2 linked regions of the Tamandua tetradactyla genome follow. The main gene of each other region encodes a partner of the protein of the gene in region 2 in a complex. Links are inferred from orthologs where the notes say so. Each region holds a gene or a part of one and is shown on either strand. Other genes may lie near its edges.

Region 1 (7,148 bases), on a different chromosome or scaffold from region 2:
CGACGGGGCCCAAGGGGACGCGCCCCGACACAGCCCTGAGGATGAGGCCCCACGCCGGCCCCACTCAGACCTGTAGCCCATCCTGGTCAGGGTCACCTCCACCCACCAGCCCCACCGCATGGACCCCTCCCTAGCTCCTCTCCCCCCAGCTCCATTCCGGTCCCTCCACTCACAGCGCCCCCACTGCTGGGCCTATCCCCAGGCACCCCTTCCCTGGGGCTGGGACCTCCCCATCAGGCTCGCACGTCCCTGGGGCAGGCACAGGGTCCCCAGGGCCTGGAGCCCCCACCACCCCTGCATGCAGGACCCTCGGGGGCAGGTGCTGGGTGGGAGGGGACTGCCTGCCAGCTCGGGACCTCCACAGGGCCCAGTGGGGACACTGGGTGGCTGGGGGTGCGGGCGGGTGAGGGGGTGGCCTGGGAGCTATGGGGGGGCAGCCGGGCTTGTGGGGGACAGGGATTGGCAGGTGAGGGGAAAGGCAGCCTGGGGGTGCACATTCGGCGGTCCTGGGCAGTGCGGGGTGGCACTGAGAAAGGCCTGTGGCCCTGCCCCATATCGGTCAGGTGGGGCCCTGTCCGCCCTGCCTCCGGGGGCTGCAGGGTCTGAGGTTTCCACCTGCCCACCAGGCCGCTTGGGGCCCCTAGCACCCTACCCCACATCCAGCAGAGCCCCACCTGCCTGTCCCACGTCACAGGGCCTGTGAGGCAGTGGAGGGGCTCCTTCCCGAGACACCCACTCTGCGCTCAGCCACCCCTAGCCCTGCTGGACACCCCGCCCGCGGCCGCTTCAGCCGTCCGTGCCCTGCGCTGTGCAGAGGGTCCCCAGGCTCCACCCTCCTGCGGCCCCAGGCCCCGGCACTCACCAGCCGGGTGGGGGACAGGCCTTCCTCCAGCAACGGCCCATTGCGGCCGTCTGCGCCCTCGCTGGGTGGGCAGGGGTTCTGCGGGCCCGGCCAGCTCAGCTCCCACACGCGGATGCTGGGCGTGCGGGGCCGAGGCCCCCCGGCTGTGTCCCAGGCGGGCTCCATTCACATCCCACCTGGCGGGAGGAGCAGAGCGCAAGCTGGGCACGCCGGGGTCCGCAGCCCACCTCCCACCGGCCCCTGGGCTGTTCCCCAGCCCTGTGCCCGATGGTGGGACCGGCCGCCCAGCACACGCAGCATCAGGGTCCCCTCCCACCCTGGGGACCCGACTGATGCAACAACTGCAGCCTCAGCCAACCCAGCTCATACCCTGTCCCCGCCAAGGCTGCCCCAGGCGATCGGCCTCCCGGAACGCTCCAGCCTCTCTGGCTCTGGGGTCTCACACACACACACACACACACACACACACACACACACACACACACACACACACACACACACACACACACACACACACACACACACACACACACGGCCCAAGCAAGGGGCTTCGCTCCACAGCTCTCTCCCCCATCTAAGCCTGGGGAGCTGCAAGGATGGGGGCTGTGAGGCTGTGACCTTGGGGTACTGCGAGGCTAGAGAACTGTGATCTTGGGGGCGGGGGAGGCTGGGGGACTGTGACTCTGGGGAGCTGTGACCTTGGGGTGCTGTGAGACTGGGGGCTGCTTCTGGGGGTCTGTGAGCCTGTGGGGGCGGGTTCCACGGCTGCCCACGACTAGCAATTGAGCACCTAAACAGGCTCCACCCGATGGTCCTGAACCCTAGGCCCAGGAGCAGAGCCCCAGGCACTGCCACCATCCCCCTTGGCACCCCAGCGCTGCCCTGTGCAGTGGAGATCTGTACCTGCGGGCAGCTGCCTTCTCCTGCATGAGTCAGACATCCAGCCGGGGGGCCTCAGGCAGCACCTGCAGGAGAGAGAAGCTGCGACCCAGGCCCAAGGGGTGCCCCCGCCTCCTGCCCGCGGGTGTGAGGGTCGCTGCCGACCCGTGGCCCTCCTCACCCCGCTGGGGCTAAGAGGAGAAGGAGCCAGGCAGGCCCATGGAGCAAGTCACTGCTGCACGGGCTCTCTGGGCCCCCAGGTGAATCCCCACCCCTCTCCCAAGCCCCTTTCCTCCACACCCTGCTGGGACCCGCTGGCCTGGGGTCTGCCCGCTCCGAGCCCTCCCCACCCTTCGGGGCCTGCGCCCGGGTCTCAGCCTGTGGGGTGTGGCCTGCTCCCCGCACCCACGCGCGGCCCCGCATCAAGCAGGCGCGCCTGAGGGGGCGCGTGAACAGCCGGTGAATGGGAGAACGCAAGGGGCCGCGCCCTCGGGCCTGGGGTCCGGGTGGTCCTCACCGGCAGCCCCTCCCCGGACGCGGGCTGAGCAGCCAAGACCCCCGGCCGCGGCCCTGCGTCGGGGGGCGGGGCGCAGGGGGCGCCGGCGGCCTGGAAGTTTCTGTAGCGCCCCCCCCCCCCCCCCCCCGCCCAGCAGGTGCTCAACAAACATCTGCTAAATAAAGGAACGAATTGCCCTTTTTGATGGGTGTTGCAAAATACATCTATTTCGCCATCGTCGAACGCTCAAAAGACAAATCTTATAACTACATCTTTGCAACTGAGATTTCTTCAAAAATTTCCTGAAAGTCAGGTACAAAGAGCTGAACTGTGTGCTGAAAGGGCGACGTCTGGGTGCCGGTGACTGCGCCCTGGAAAGCAGGGGGCTTCCCGCCCCCGCAAAGGCCCTGCAGACCCCGCCCGACCCTCCCACCCCACCCGGGGCGCCAACCCCAGACCCCCTTCCAGCACCTCCTCATTGCCCCTCAGTCCCCACACGAGGCCCCTGTCCAAGAGACCATGTGGCCAGGGCCAGTTTTGGGGGTGCAGGCTCCGCGAGTGGGTGGGGGCATCCACGTGGTTTAGCCCCTGCATTATCCATTCGCTCTGGGCCCCTTCACCGCCCGTCCCGCCTCCCGCCCTCTCCTGATGACCCGGGGCCGCTGTCCCCACCCGGCCTGGCCCCTCCTGCGTGGTGCTTCCCCCAGCGCTGAGCTCCCACGGCCTTACCCAGCCACCGGCTGAGGACCCCGCCTCCCAAGGCCCTGGGCCTCCTCCCCTCTCGTCAGCGCGGATGCCCGGGCCATGGCGGCACAAAGAGCGTGAGTGAGGTGTACGAGCTGGGACTTGGGGTGCAACAGGGAGGTCTGGTAGAACAGCAACCTGGCTCTGCTCTGCGGGCCAGTGCATAGCTGCCGCTGCCACCGAAGTTCCTGTGGGTGGCCGGGTCCGGGAGCAGGGGGCAGCGGGCAGGAGGTGCACACAGCGAGGGACCAACAGCAGGGCGGCAGAATGGGACCAGACCCCACACGCTCAGCGGACCCTCCGTGGCGGGCTTGGCCCAGCACGCAGCTGGGAGGGCGGGAGGGCGGAGGCGCGGCGCAGTCCCGGCTGGCCGCCTTGGTTGGAGGCAATTCTGGTGATCCGCAAGCAGAGTGACCAGATCTCTCACTACTCCCGGGCTCCCAGTGTGACCCCCTCCCTGGCATCCCCTTGGGATGGTGCTGCCCACCTAACCCGCCCCCCCACCCCGACGCCAGCCCAGGGTGATGGGAAGGGCACGGGCCAGGGTGCTATGCTTCCGCGGGCGCCTCTGGCCGGAAGAGGCCGAGCGCCGCCCAATGTGCCCCCGTCCCGCCCTGGTCTCTCTCATGTGCGCCCCCCATGGAGACCCCCAGAACAGAATCTGGGCCCCAGCCTTTGTCTCTCCCTCTCAGGGAAGACCTGACCGCCCCCCCCCACCGTGACCCTAGGGACTAATGCCGGCCCCACCAGGACACTGCGTCCTACTCGCGCCCCTCGGCGTCGCGCAGGGGCGAGGCCTGAGGTCCGGTCCGAGGGCGCCCTCGGCTCTCACCTGGGGATGCCCCCACCGCGGGGCTTTCGGGGAGTCGGGCTGTTCTTCCGCCCGGGGGTTGCGGGCCCGGGCTCCATGGCAACGGGGGCGGGGCCACACGCCACCAAGCCTAAGCCGCGGGGATCCCCCGCCGCGGAGCCCGCGGCTGAGCCACGCCCCCAGGAGCGGTTGCTAGGGCCCGCCGGGCCGGGGCAGTGGTCGCGACCCTGCGCGGCCCGGTACACGCGTGGGAGCCCTCCCCCAGGCTCTGTGCCCCGCGCGCCCGCGGGGGAGCGGGGTGGGAAGGGAGTCGCCATCGGTTGGAGGGGAACCGGGAGGCTCGCGCGCCCCTCTCTCCCAGGTGGGCAGGTCGCCCGAGATCCCCCGGGATTTACCTTCCGCCGCGCAGTGCGAGCAACGCGACGAGAGGGGGCGCGGCGGGGAAAGGACCCTCCTATCCGAGAGAAACCCAGACCGCACCCCGGAGCGCCCATGCGCCCCCGCGTACACCGGCGCTCCCCCGAAACTGGCTCCACGCCCCGCAGCGCGGGTGGGTAGGGCCAAGGTCGCGACGCGGGGGACGCGGCCGTGCGCGGGAGGGGCCAGGCCGGGGTGGAGAGAGTGGCCCGCGGTGTGCGCCCTGGGGCCTCGGCCGAGACGTCAGCGGCTCCTGTGCGCTGGGAGGGCGGCGGGACGGGAAGCCCCTCCGCAGTCCTTCCCCTTTTTTGCTGAAAGAAGTAGGGTGTATTCGTGCAGGACCCCAACGTTTTAGAATACGTTTAAAGTTTCTATTTGAATCGTAAAAAAGAACGCGCGCTTGCGCTTGCGGGAATCTTGTCCGTTCGCCCCCCGGGGCAGCTGTTCGGGTTGGACGTGCCCAGGCGCCGGAATCGGGTGTGCCGTGAGCCCCGCGGGCCGCAGAGGCGCAGCCGGGGGTGCGGGGAGCTGCGTGGGCGGAGGCGTCGGCAGGGCCGGGCTGGGGCTGGGGGCAGCGGGAGACAGGAAAGTGCGAAGCAAGGGCCAGCGTAGGCAAGAGCGCGCGCCGAGACTCGTCCCCCGACCCCGGGCACGGCTGCGGGGCGGGGCCGCCTGGACCGCAGAGACTCGTCCTTCCGCCGCCCTCGCTCTCCCGCGCCCGCGGAGTCCGGCTCCCTAACCCTCCACGACCCCGAGACCCCGCTACGAGTGCGACCCACGCCCACGCCCACGCCCACGCCCACGAACACCACTGGAGCTCGGCCCCGCCCTCCGCGCCGCTCCAGGAAGTCCCGCCCAGCCGCGGTTTGACCGACGGGCCGTTCAGCCAACCGAAGCGCGGTCAGGGCGGAGGCGGCCTTGGGGCGGGGCAGGGACGTGCGGACCAATGGTAGGCCGCGTCTAGTGGACGGACCGACGCGGGGCGGGATCTTGCCGGGCGAGCCAGTAGTGGGCCGCTGCGGGATGACGGACGGACGCAGGGCGGGGCGTTCGTGTGCCCGGCCGAGTCGACGCCGACGCCGTCCGCGCCTCCCGCAGCCGGAGCCGCACCCGCCGCGGAGGGATCCCATGCGCGGGGCGCGTCGCGTTCCCGCCCCGGCCCCAGCCTCCGCCCCGGCCCCGGGGGCAGACGCGTCAGTGGGCGGTGAGTGGCAGGCGAGGGCCAGGGGGCCGCGGCGCGCGGTGGCGTGGGCCTGGCGCCCCTCCCCCTCCGAGGCGCAGGCGCTTCCCCCGAGCAGCGGGCGGGGGCGGCGGGGAGTGCGGCGGGAGCCGCGCCCCACCTCGCCGAGGGCGGGAGGCCAACTTGCTAGTTCTCGGTCTGGGAGGCTGCGGCGGTGGGTGGGGGTACAGGTGAGCCTCGGGGTTCAGGAAGGGGTGCAGGGGAACCTCGGGATTCGAGTGGGAGTAGATGGGTGCCTCGGGGTTAGGGTGAAGGCTGCGGGGGAGCCTTGGGGTTCGAGTGGGGGCTGCAGGGGAGCCTCGTAGTTCGAGAGGGGATGCAGGGGAGCCTCGGGATTTGGGGGGTTGCAGGGGAAATCGGAGTTCGGTTAGGGATACAAGTGAGCCTCGAGTTCGGGTGGGGGTGCAGGTGAGTGTCGGGGTTTGGGTGGGGGTGCAAGGGAGCCTTGGGGTTCGGGTGGGGTTCAGGTGATCCTCGGGATTCTGGTGGGGGTTTAGGTGAGCCTCCGGGTTCTACTAGGTGTACAGGTGAGCCTCGGGCTTCACGTGGCGATGCAGGGTAGCCTCGGGGTTCGCTTGGCTGTGGAAGGGAGCCTCGGGGTTTGGGTGGGGGTACAGGGGAGCCTCGGGGTTTGGGTGGGGTTCAGGTGAGTCTCGGGGTTCATATGGGGGTACAGGGGAGCGTCGGAGTTCGGGTGGGGTTCAGGTGAGTCTCGGGGTTCAGGTGGGGGTACAAGGGAACCTCGGGGTTTGGGTGGAGGTACAGGGGAGCCTCGGGGTTCGGATGGGGTTCAGGTGAGCCTCCGGGTTTGGATGGGATACAGGTGAGCCTCGAGGTTCGGGTGGGGTGCAGGGGAGCTTCAGGGTTTGGGTGGGGGTGCAACAGAGCCTCAGGGTTCGGGTAGGGGTTCAGTTGAGCCTTGGGATTCGGGTGGGGGTTTAGGTGAGCCTCCGGGTTCTGGTGGGTGTTCAGGTGACTGAAGCTCAGGCTTCAGGTGGTGGTGCAGGGCAGCCTCAGAGTTCGCTTGGGGGTGAAAGGGATCGTTGGGTTGGGGTGCAAGGGAGCCTCCACGTTCAAGTAGGGGTGCAGAGGAGCCTCAGGGTTTGGGTGGGGGTGCATGTGAACCTCCGGGTTTGGGTGGGGTACAGGGGAGCCTCAGAGTTCAGGTGGGGGTACAAGGGAACCTCAGGGTCAGATAGGGGTGCAAGGGAGCCTCGGGGTTCAGGTGGGGGTCCATGGGAGACTTGGCCATCGGGTGGACGTGCAGGTGAGCGTTGGGGGTTGAGTGGGGGTGCAGGGGAGCCTCAAAGTTCGGGTAGGGGTTCAGGTGAGCCTCAGGGTCTTGGTGGGGGGATTAGGTGAGCCTCTCCGTTCTGGTGGGGGTACAGGTGAGCTTCGGGTTTCGGGTGGGGGTGCAGGGGAGCCTCGGGGTTCGGGTAGGGGTGCAGGGGAGCCTTGGGGTTTGGGTGGGGGTGGAGAGGAGGCTCAGGGTTTGAGTGGGGGTGCTAAGGAGCCTCAGGGTTCAAGTGATGGTACAGGCTGACACGTGTGTGCCATTGGGGGTATATGTGGGGTTCAAGGCAGTGCCTCAGTTCTGACTGTTCCCTTACTCTTGAGGGGTTTCTTAAGTACTCTCCTGGGATGGGGGGTATTCCTTGAGCTGAGCTCCTGGCCTGTGCACGTGGTGCCAGATGAGGTC
Region 2 (7,285 bases):
CTTGATGCTAAGTCTCAGCTCATTCTAGGGTTTTTCTCAATCTCCTGAGGCTGATTCTCAGCTCACTCTAGGATCTCTGTCCCACGTTGCCAGGAAGGTCCACACCCCTGGGAGTCATGTCCCACCTAGACAGGGGGAGGGTGGTGAGATTGCTTGTTGTGTTGGCTGGAGAGAGAGGCCACATCTGAGCAACAAAAGAGGCTCTCTTGGGGGTGACTCATAGGCCTAAATTTTAAGTAGGCTTGACCTATCCTTTGTGGGGTTAAGTTTCATATGAACAAACCCCAAGACTGGAGGCTCAGCCTGTAGCTTTGGTTGTCCACACTGCTTGTGAGAGTATCAAGAATTCAACTTGGGGAAGTTGAATTTCTCCCCGTTCTCACCATTCCCCAAAGGGGGCTTTGCAAATACTTTTCCACTCACTGATCGAATCACTCTGGGATTCATCGGGGCATCACTCTGTACAAAACAACAAAATCTCATGTCCTACCTGAGATTCCAAGTACTTATGTGTTCAATCAAACTATCTACATAAGTTATACTAGGAAATGCACTAGTCAAAATATAAATTTTGTGACAAATAAACATTTTTTGCTTTAGTCTCACACATAAGGTGACATTTTCAAATATTAATTACCATCTATTTTCAGCACCCTGCAGTAATGACATTCCTTTGTTCTTCCTCACGCAAAAATATTTTTAAAATTTGTACATTTAGTCACTATTATTATACACTCTAGGCATTCCTAGATTATACCATCTCAATCTTTAACATCTGCCTTTCTTTCTGATTTCATTTATGTCCCCAGCCCTCTCCCTCTATCATTCTCACATGCAGCTTCATTCAGTGTTTTAACATAATTGTGTTACAGTTAGGTAGTATTGTGCTGTCCATTTCTGAGTTTTTGTATTCAGGCCTGTTGCACAGTCTGTATCCCTTCAGCTCCAATTACCCAATATCTTACCCTATTTTAATGTCAGTTCCACCCTCTGATACAACTCTGCTCCATGGAGGCTTACGTCATCCACTTGCCCTGACCTCTCTTCCCAACTACTTACCTCTCCAATTCTGGTCCTCAGCCACAGAATGGCTTAGGCAGCCTCTGGGTTTCCTTTACACCTCTGCCTCCGGCCATCTTATTAGGGCCTTCTAGAATGGTCCATGAGACATCTCAGTTCCTTCACCATCTTTTTTCTCCACTCCACTTCAGCCAGGACCCTACCCTCACACAGCTTTTCAGCTGAGATTGTTAGTTAAGACATTTCTCTCTGATAACTTCCATCTTTTTGTCTTTGCTCCATCATTGATTCCCATTACACCTGTTCTGAGACCTTCTGATCAGTGGCATCAACTTTCCACAATTCTCTTGCATCTTTATCCAAGATACATTTGGTGACCTGTTGTTTTAAGCATTCTTAAGAGGTGAGATCTTGAAATCCTTGACCCCATCACACCTGCCTAGCAAAAGTCCTTCCTTTGACTAATTTAATTGCTCACTCCTTGTGTGCTTATATCTTTTTTAAAAATTGAGATATATTATATACTCACATACCATATAATCATCCAACTTGTACAACCAGTGGTTCACAGTATCATCATATAGCTGTGTCTTTGTCATCACAATAGAGTCTTTAAAATTTTTTTATGCTGTATGGCAGGGTCACATTTCATTATTTTTCCATGTGAGTATCCCATTATTGCAGCACTATTTGTTGAATTTTTGTTTTTTGGAAGTTCATGGAGTGGAAATTGAACCCAGGTCTCCTGCCTGGCAGGTGAGAATTCTACCACTGAACTACCCTTGCACCCCCACCATAGACTTCTGAACATTTTCATTACTTCCCCCAAATTAAGATAAGAATAAAACTAAAAATAAAAGTGAAAAAGAACACCTAAATCATCCCATACCCCCACATTAGTTATTTATTTTTTGTCATTTTTTTTTCCTACTCATCTGTCTATACACTGGATAAAGGAATGTCAGTTTATGGGGATTCCCTGGAGAACAGGGTAGAAGAAGGGGCACTGTGCAGGATTAAGAAACGACAGACACAAGATGATAGTTAAGATGGGTCAGGGGACTCAAGCTCATCAGGAGCAAGAGCCCCGAATACACTGACGCCCACATATTTATTGTGCTCTTATATGGGAACTGCTTTAGGGCATATAACCAAACCAAGATTATTTTTGAATAACTGTCATGCTTACAAAGCTACAAAGTTTGGTTCCCAGCTCCTTATCCCAGGAACCATTTATTTCTTATCAGAATGTTCTCTTTAGACCTCCTCAGACCTTAAAGTTAATATTCTCAAGGACAATTGCCACATTGGTTTACCATATTAGGAGAGCATGGTTTGCCTATACCCCGTGTCCTCTGTCAACCTCCTTGAGAACACCTGCTTCTGTAGTTTACCACATAGCAGAGCACAGTGTGTCTATGCCCTTGCTTCTGCAGTTTACCACATTAGCAGAGCACGGTGTGCCTATGCCCCGTGTCCTTAGTCAACCTCCTTGAGAACACTTGTTTCTGTAGTTTGCCGTATCAGCAGGGCACAGTTTGCCTAGGCCCCACGTCCTCAACTATTAGCCAACTTCCAGAGTCTTCATGGCTGGTCTCTGAAAGTCAGTCAGAAGGTTTTCACAATCACATCGTCTGTGTGCCTGTATCTTGACTGCTCAAACTGGCTATAGATAAATTATACAAACCATCATATTACTAACACTGTAAACTCAAGAGTTTCCATCCTCAACTGGACTCTCAACACTGTACTTGAAATCTTGCCATATTTCCCAGCACTCCAATTTGCCACAGGGTCTACTTCAAATCCATAATCAAACTTGACTAGAAGCTTCATTAGGGCAGGATCCTTGTGTGGCTTCCCCCGCCCCCCCCCCGCAACTGAATCCTCAGCGCCAAGACAGGCTTACTAGATGATAGGTGCTCAATAATTATCTGTTGAACGACAGAGAGGTAGTAATAGCGGTAAGCATTCAGTAAGTATTGGCTATTTGTCTGATTCTTTTCTACAAGAGTTGTAATATGTATTAACTCATTTAATCCTCACAAGAACGCAATGAAGTTAGTGAGGAAGTATATCATTCCCATTTTACAGATAAGGAAATTTAGAGAGACAGCTTGGAGGGATGAAATCACAAAGCTTATAAGTGGTAGAGTGGGTATTTCATCTTTATAACCTATAAATGCTTAACTGGTGCAATCGATTTCCGTTTTTGACAGGCTTTGATTTAGGTGCCTAATGACAATCAGGCAGCTGTACTTTAGGCTCAGGAGAGAGGTGAAAGTGGAAATTAAAATTGAGGAGACGACAGTATATCCACGGTGGTGGGAGCCGCTGGAGCACATAACCTGGTGAAGCAGATAACCTGGTAAGCTTGGAAAACCTAAAACCAGCCTTGTTCACACCTGTTGCTTTGGCATAGCGTCTCCAGCAGTCCCGGGATGGAAACTGGTGGTGTGTGCGCAGAAGCGCTGTGGAGCCTTGCATCTGGGTTGCTAAGGCGCATTTTGGAAAATACTTCCGAGACTAACTCTCAAGTGGAGAACGCTGTTATTGCACTGCTTGGGTCTTTTTTTCTATCCCCATTGCTTTTTTCCCACTTTCTCTAAGAGAGAGAGGCCGCAAGTACTGAGCTCCAAAGTCAGTCCCATTACATCTCACCAAGCTGTTCTTGAGGAAAAGAATTATCCTCATTTTACAGACAATAAGAATAATGAACACTATCACCTAGCATCCGCTACGTGTCAGGTATATTTCGTGCATGAGTGTATTTCAAGCATGATCCCAACCGATTCTTACAACGACTTCGTATTCTGAAGTTGAAACTATTGCTATGGATGGTAAAACTGAGGCTCAAAGAAGGAAGGTATCCTGTCCTAGGGCGCAGAGCAAGTTAGAGAGATGGCATTTGAACTCGGGTCTTTCCTGACCCAGAGGCTAAGAGGCCTCATTACTGACAGATTTGTAGCATGCCCTCAGGGCTTTTCTCTGTGTACGTGAGTAGGAAGGGTAAAGGGATTCGAAGGAGAACGCGAGGACGCTAAAGTCGATTTCAGCCCAAGATTCCAGTATCTCCAATCCAGGATTTTCCCGGGCCTAAGTGGCGGCGCATGCGTATGGCCTCCCGTTCAGCCCCGCCCCACCGGGTGGGCGCCGCTTTTCGCTTTCGGCTCTGGGGCTTGCGCACTTTGTCCCCAGCCAGCGGCTTCTTCCCGGCCGGGGACTTCCGGTACGTTGGGGAGCGGTTCCGGGTCGTGGAGCGACTCCGGGAATCCGGGCTGCTACTTTGCGGGCCAGTGGCGGCGGGCAGCGGGGCAGGAGGGCGAGCCTGGGAAGCAGCAGCTGAGCGGGCTGGGAGGAGAGCCGTTCCGAGGATCCCGAGAGTGCGGAGTTCGGGGCAGGGGCCGGGAGGACCAGGGGAGCCGGGCTCTTTCCTCTGAAACCTGTCCTGGGGCCGGCCTGGCCCACTGTGTGGGAGCAGCTTCAGGTAAAGGTTGCCTTGCCCGCTGGCTCATTCGTTCGCCCGCCAGCCCGCGCGCAGGGCCTGGCGACCCTCCTCCACTCCCCCGCGCTCCGCTTTCCGTCAGGCCCTTGCTTTTGGTTCCCCTGGGAACATCCGTTTCCTGGCCCTTTCCAGAACCGGAGGCTGACAAGACCCTGACAGCTCAGTGTGTTATTTGGAAGAGGAGAAACTAGTAGACCTGGTAGGAAGGTGCGGTTGGCCCCGGCAGTTTCTGGTCCTACACTAAGAAACATTTAGTTGACCCGATCTTCATAACGTGAAAATTAAAGCATTGCCTGTGGTCCTTGGTTCCTAACGCCTCTTCTCCCTGTCCCCCCCCCAATGGATTAAACAGTCTCCGCGAATCTTTTTTTTTTCCTAACTGAGATGTTCTTGGAACTTCGTTTCAGCTTTTTGTTTATGGAAGTGGCAAGGAGTCTTCTAGATCTGTTTAAAGTTGGAAAAAAGCGAGAAATGATTGTAATTTAAACACGAGTATTACTTTAACTGGGGACCAAAAAGTTATCTCAGAAATTGGTTGAAACTTCGTTCTGAATGAATGCAAGTAGTTTTCAAAATCCATTAAGTACCTGGCACTGTGCAAAAGTTGTGAACCAAAATGAACAAGGTCCCAGAGATCCCCAGGTGTGAAGAGTCAAACAGGGAGGCAGGTGTCTACACGCATTAGTTGTTGTTTTTTTTTTTTTTTGTCAGCATTCTCATCTCTTTTTGACAGCAGAAGGAGTGGATTCCTAAAGTTAAAATCCACTAGGGCAGGAAAGCAAAGTCCATGTTTTATTTCTCATATTCTATGAACTCATAGAAGGTGCTTAGTAAATATTTAGTGAAGAGTTCTTGATGAAGCATTGATAGTTTTCATCTTTTTCAGTTTACTTACCTCCAGGCTTACTTCCCATTCAGCTTTGTACTCATACCGACCTTTAACTACTCTGTATGCAGACTGCACTCATCACCTAACAAGCCTCCTTACCAGACTCCTGGCTACCTCTCCAACTACTCTTGAAAAGTCCCCCTTTAATTACCCCATCCTAACCCATTACTCTAGATAAGTAGGATCTCAATTTCCCTTTCTTCTTTCTTATGGCAGTTGCTTTTTTTTTTTTTCCTCACATTTTCCCTGCCTTGTAGGTTCTCCTGTTCTGTTTCCACCTATTGAGATGCTACCTATGGCCTAGCTGAAGTTGGCCTCCTTCAGCTATCTGGACAAATTCCCTGGAAATACTTTATGCTTCTCTAGAAGCATTCATTATCATTCCTACAATTATTTCATTTAGCAAACATTTACTGAGTATGGTTTAATACTCAGCACCATGTTAGGTACTGGGAACTTAAAGGTAAATTACACTCAGTCCTTGTCCTCAGGGAGCTCAATTTAGTAAAAAGAAAGAAATTCATAATGTATAACAGAGCGATAAGTACATTGAGAGTTACACTGGTGATGCAGTGGTGGCATAGAAGGGGAGGGTTTATGGGGATATAGTGGGATATAGCTGGGGAATACTTTGTAATATGGGTAAACCAAGCTTTATTGAGTGTTTACTATATTCTGAGTATTGTACATTTATTTTTCTTCAATCATTTTAACCTCAATTTACAGAATGGGGAAACTCAGGATAAATTAAACAATTAGTTTGTGACAGAGTCTGGATTTAAACCCAGGACTCTCTGATGCCTGTAACTGCTTTTTCTCTATTATGTGCCTTCTTTCTCACACCATAGCTCTCTTTGTACAAGTATATATTGAAGTATCTATAAAAAAGAGAAAGTATGAAATGCATAGAGAAGTTGGTAGTCTAATCTCTCTTTTTAAATGTATTTCTCTTTTGAAGAGTGGGGAAATTTGTTTTTCTTAGTGACTCAAGTAAAGACTTTAGAAACATATTTATATATACTTTGGGCTGAGAGAATCTGCTTTATTGAGCTTTATTGAATGTTTACTATATTCTGAGTATTGTACGTATGTTTTTCTTCAATCATTTTAACCTCAATTTACAGAATAGGGAAAGAAGAGAAAGAAGAGAATCTGTTGGAATTCTGTTATTCTCATGTATAGGCTTTGTTGTTAAGGACATGGCAATGGATGCCAAATTATTTTATGACAAGGATTTCTGTCACAGTACCTATTTTTCCCCATGATAAGTGCCTTGATCTTATTTGACTTGAGTTTGAAGTTTTTGAGAAGTTATTCTCTAAAGTTAGCACATTTTAGCTTGTTTTCAGTTAAAAATGGTTGGGCAGTTATCTTTCAGTTGTTGTTAAATGCTTTTGTATACCTTATTTCCTTTAATCTTCATAATCCTGGAAGACAGGTAGTATTAACCCCATTTAACACAAGTAGCATAAGGCTTAGCAGTTACTTTGCTCAAGAGTCACATAGCTGGTGAGTGATAGAGCCGGAAGTAGTTGGGCAAAAATGAGTAAGCAGATACTTACTCAGTTCTTTTTTGAGCATCTACCTCAGGGGTCACAAACTCAGATGTCCAGGGTGTAATACAATAAGTAGGGAGGGATGGACTGAGGTGAACTGGAGAGCATATGGTGGCAGCTGCTGTTCAGCTCCAGCTGATTGTTGTCTTGTGAGGGAGTGGGATCAGTGTCCCTGGATCTCCTTATTTTTTTTCAGGAGATGTTAGAAATCTAAATGTTGATAGTTTGTCTTAAAATTTTGCCATTTTCAAAGTTATCATGTAGGCCAAAACACATTTGTGGACTGCGTGTGATCTTAGGCTGCCTGATTGTGAA

The links. Proteins that work in one complex are often made in the same cells at the same time.
Region 1: the proteins of MAPKAP1 (region 2) and HRAS are in contact, whole or in part, in a crystal structure (PDB 7VV8), measured with the Homo sapiens proteins. The link is inferred for Tamandua tetradactyla from reciprocal best matches to the Homo sapiens genes MAPKAP1 and HRAS. Residues at the interface, in NP_001006618.1 of Homo sapiens: Glu277, Ser278, Phe280, Ala286, His287, Gly288, Phe289, Ser290, Leu291, Ile292, Gln293, Arg311, Arg312, Lys313; in NP_001123914.1 of Homo sapiens: Gln25, Asp33, Ile36, Glu37, Asp38, Ser39, Tyr40, Arg41, Leu56, Glu63, Tyr64, Met67.

The regions. Positions count from the first base shown.
Region 1 is NC_135335.1:395,693-402,840, reverse strand, and holds the start of HRAS (GTPase HRas), read left to right. Parts: upstream 1-4,073; 5' UTR 4,074-4,153; intron 4,154-5,316; exon of another isoform or gene 5,317-5,413; intron 5,414-5,547; exon of another isoform or gene 5,548-5,619; intron 5,620-5,769; exon of another isoform or gene 5,770-5,857; intron 5,858-6,965; exon of another isoform or gene 6,966-7,148. Other genes in the region: LRRC56 (leucine-rich repeat-containing protein 56), read right to left, coding at 863-1,027. UniProt on the Homo sapiens protein: Involved in the activation of Ras protein signal transduction. Ras proteins bind GDP/GTP and possess intrinsic GTPase activity.
Region 2 is NC_135328.1:47,965,899-47,973,183, reverse strand, and holds the start of MAPKAP1 (target of rapamycin complex 2 subunit MAPKAP1), read left to right. Parts: upstream 1-4,198; 5' UTR 4,199-4,249; intron 4,250-4,259; exon of another isoform or gene 4,260-4,507; intron 4,508-4,577; exon of another isoform or gene 4,578-4,732; intron 4,733-7,285. UniProt on the Homo sapiens protein: Component of the mechanistic target of rapamycin complex 2 (mTORC2), which transduces signals from growth factors to pathways involved in proliferation, cytoskeletal organization, lipogenesis and anabolic output.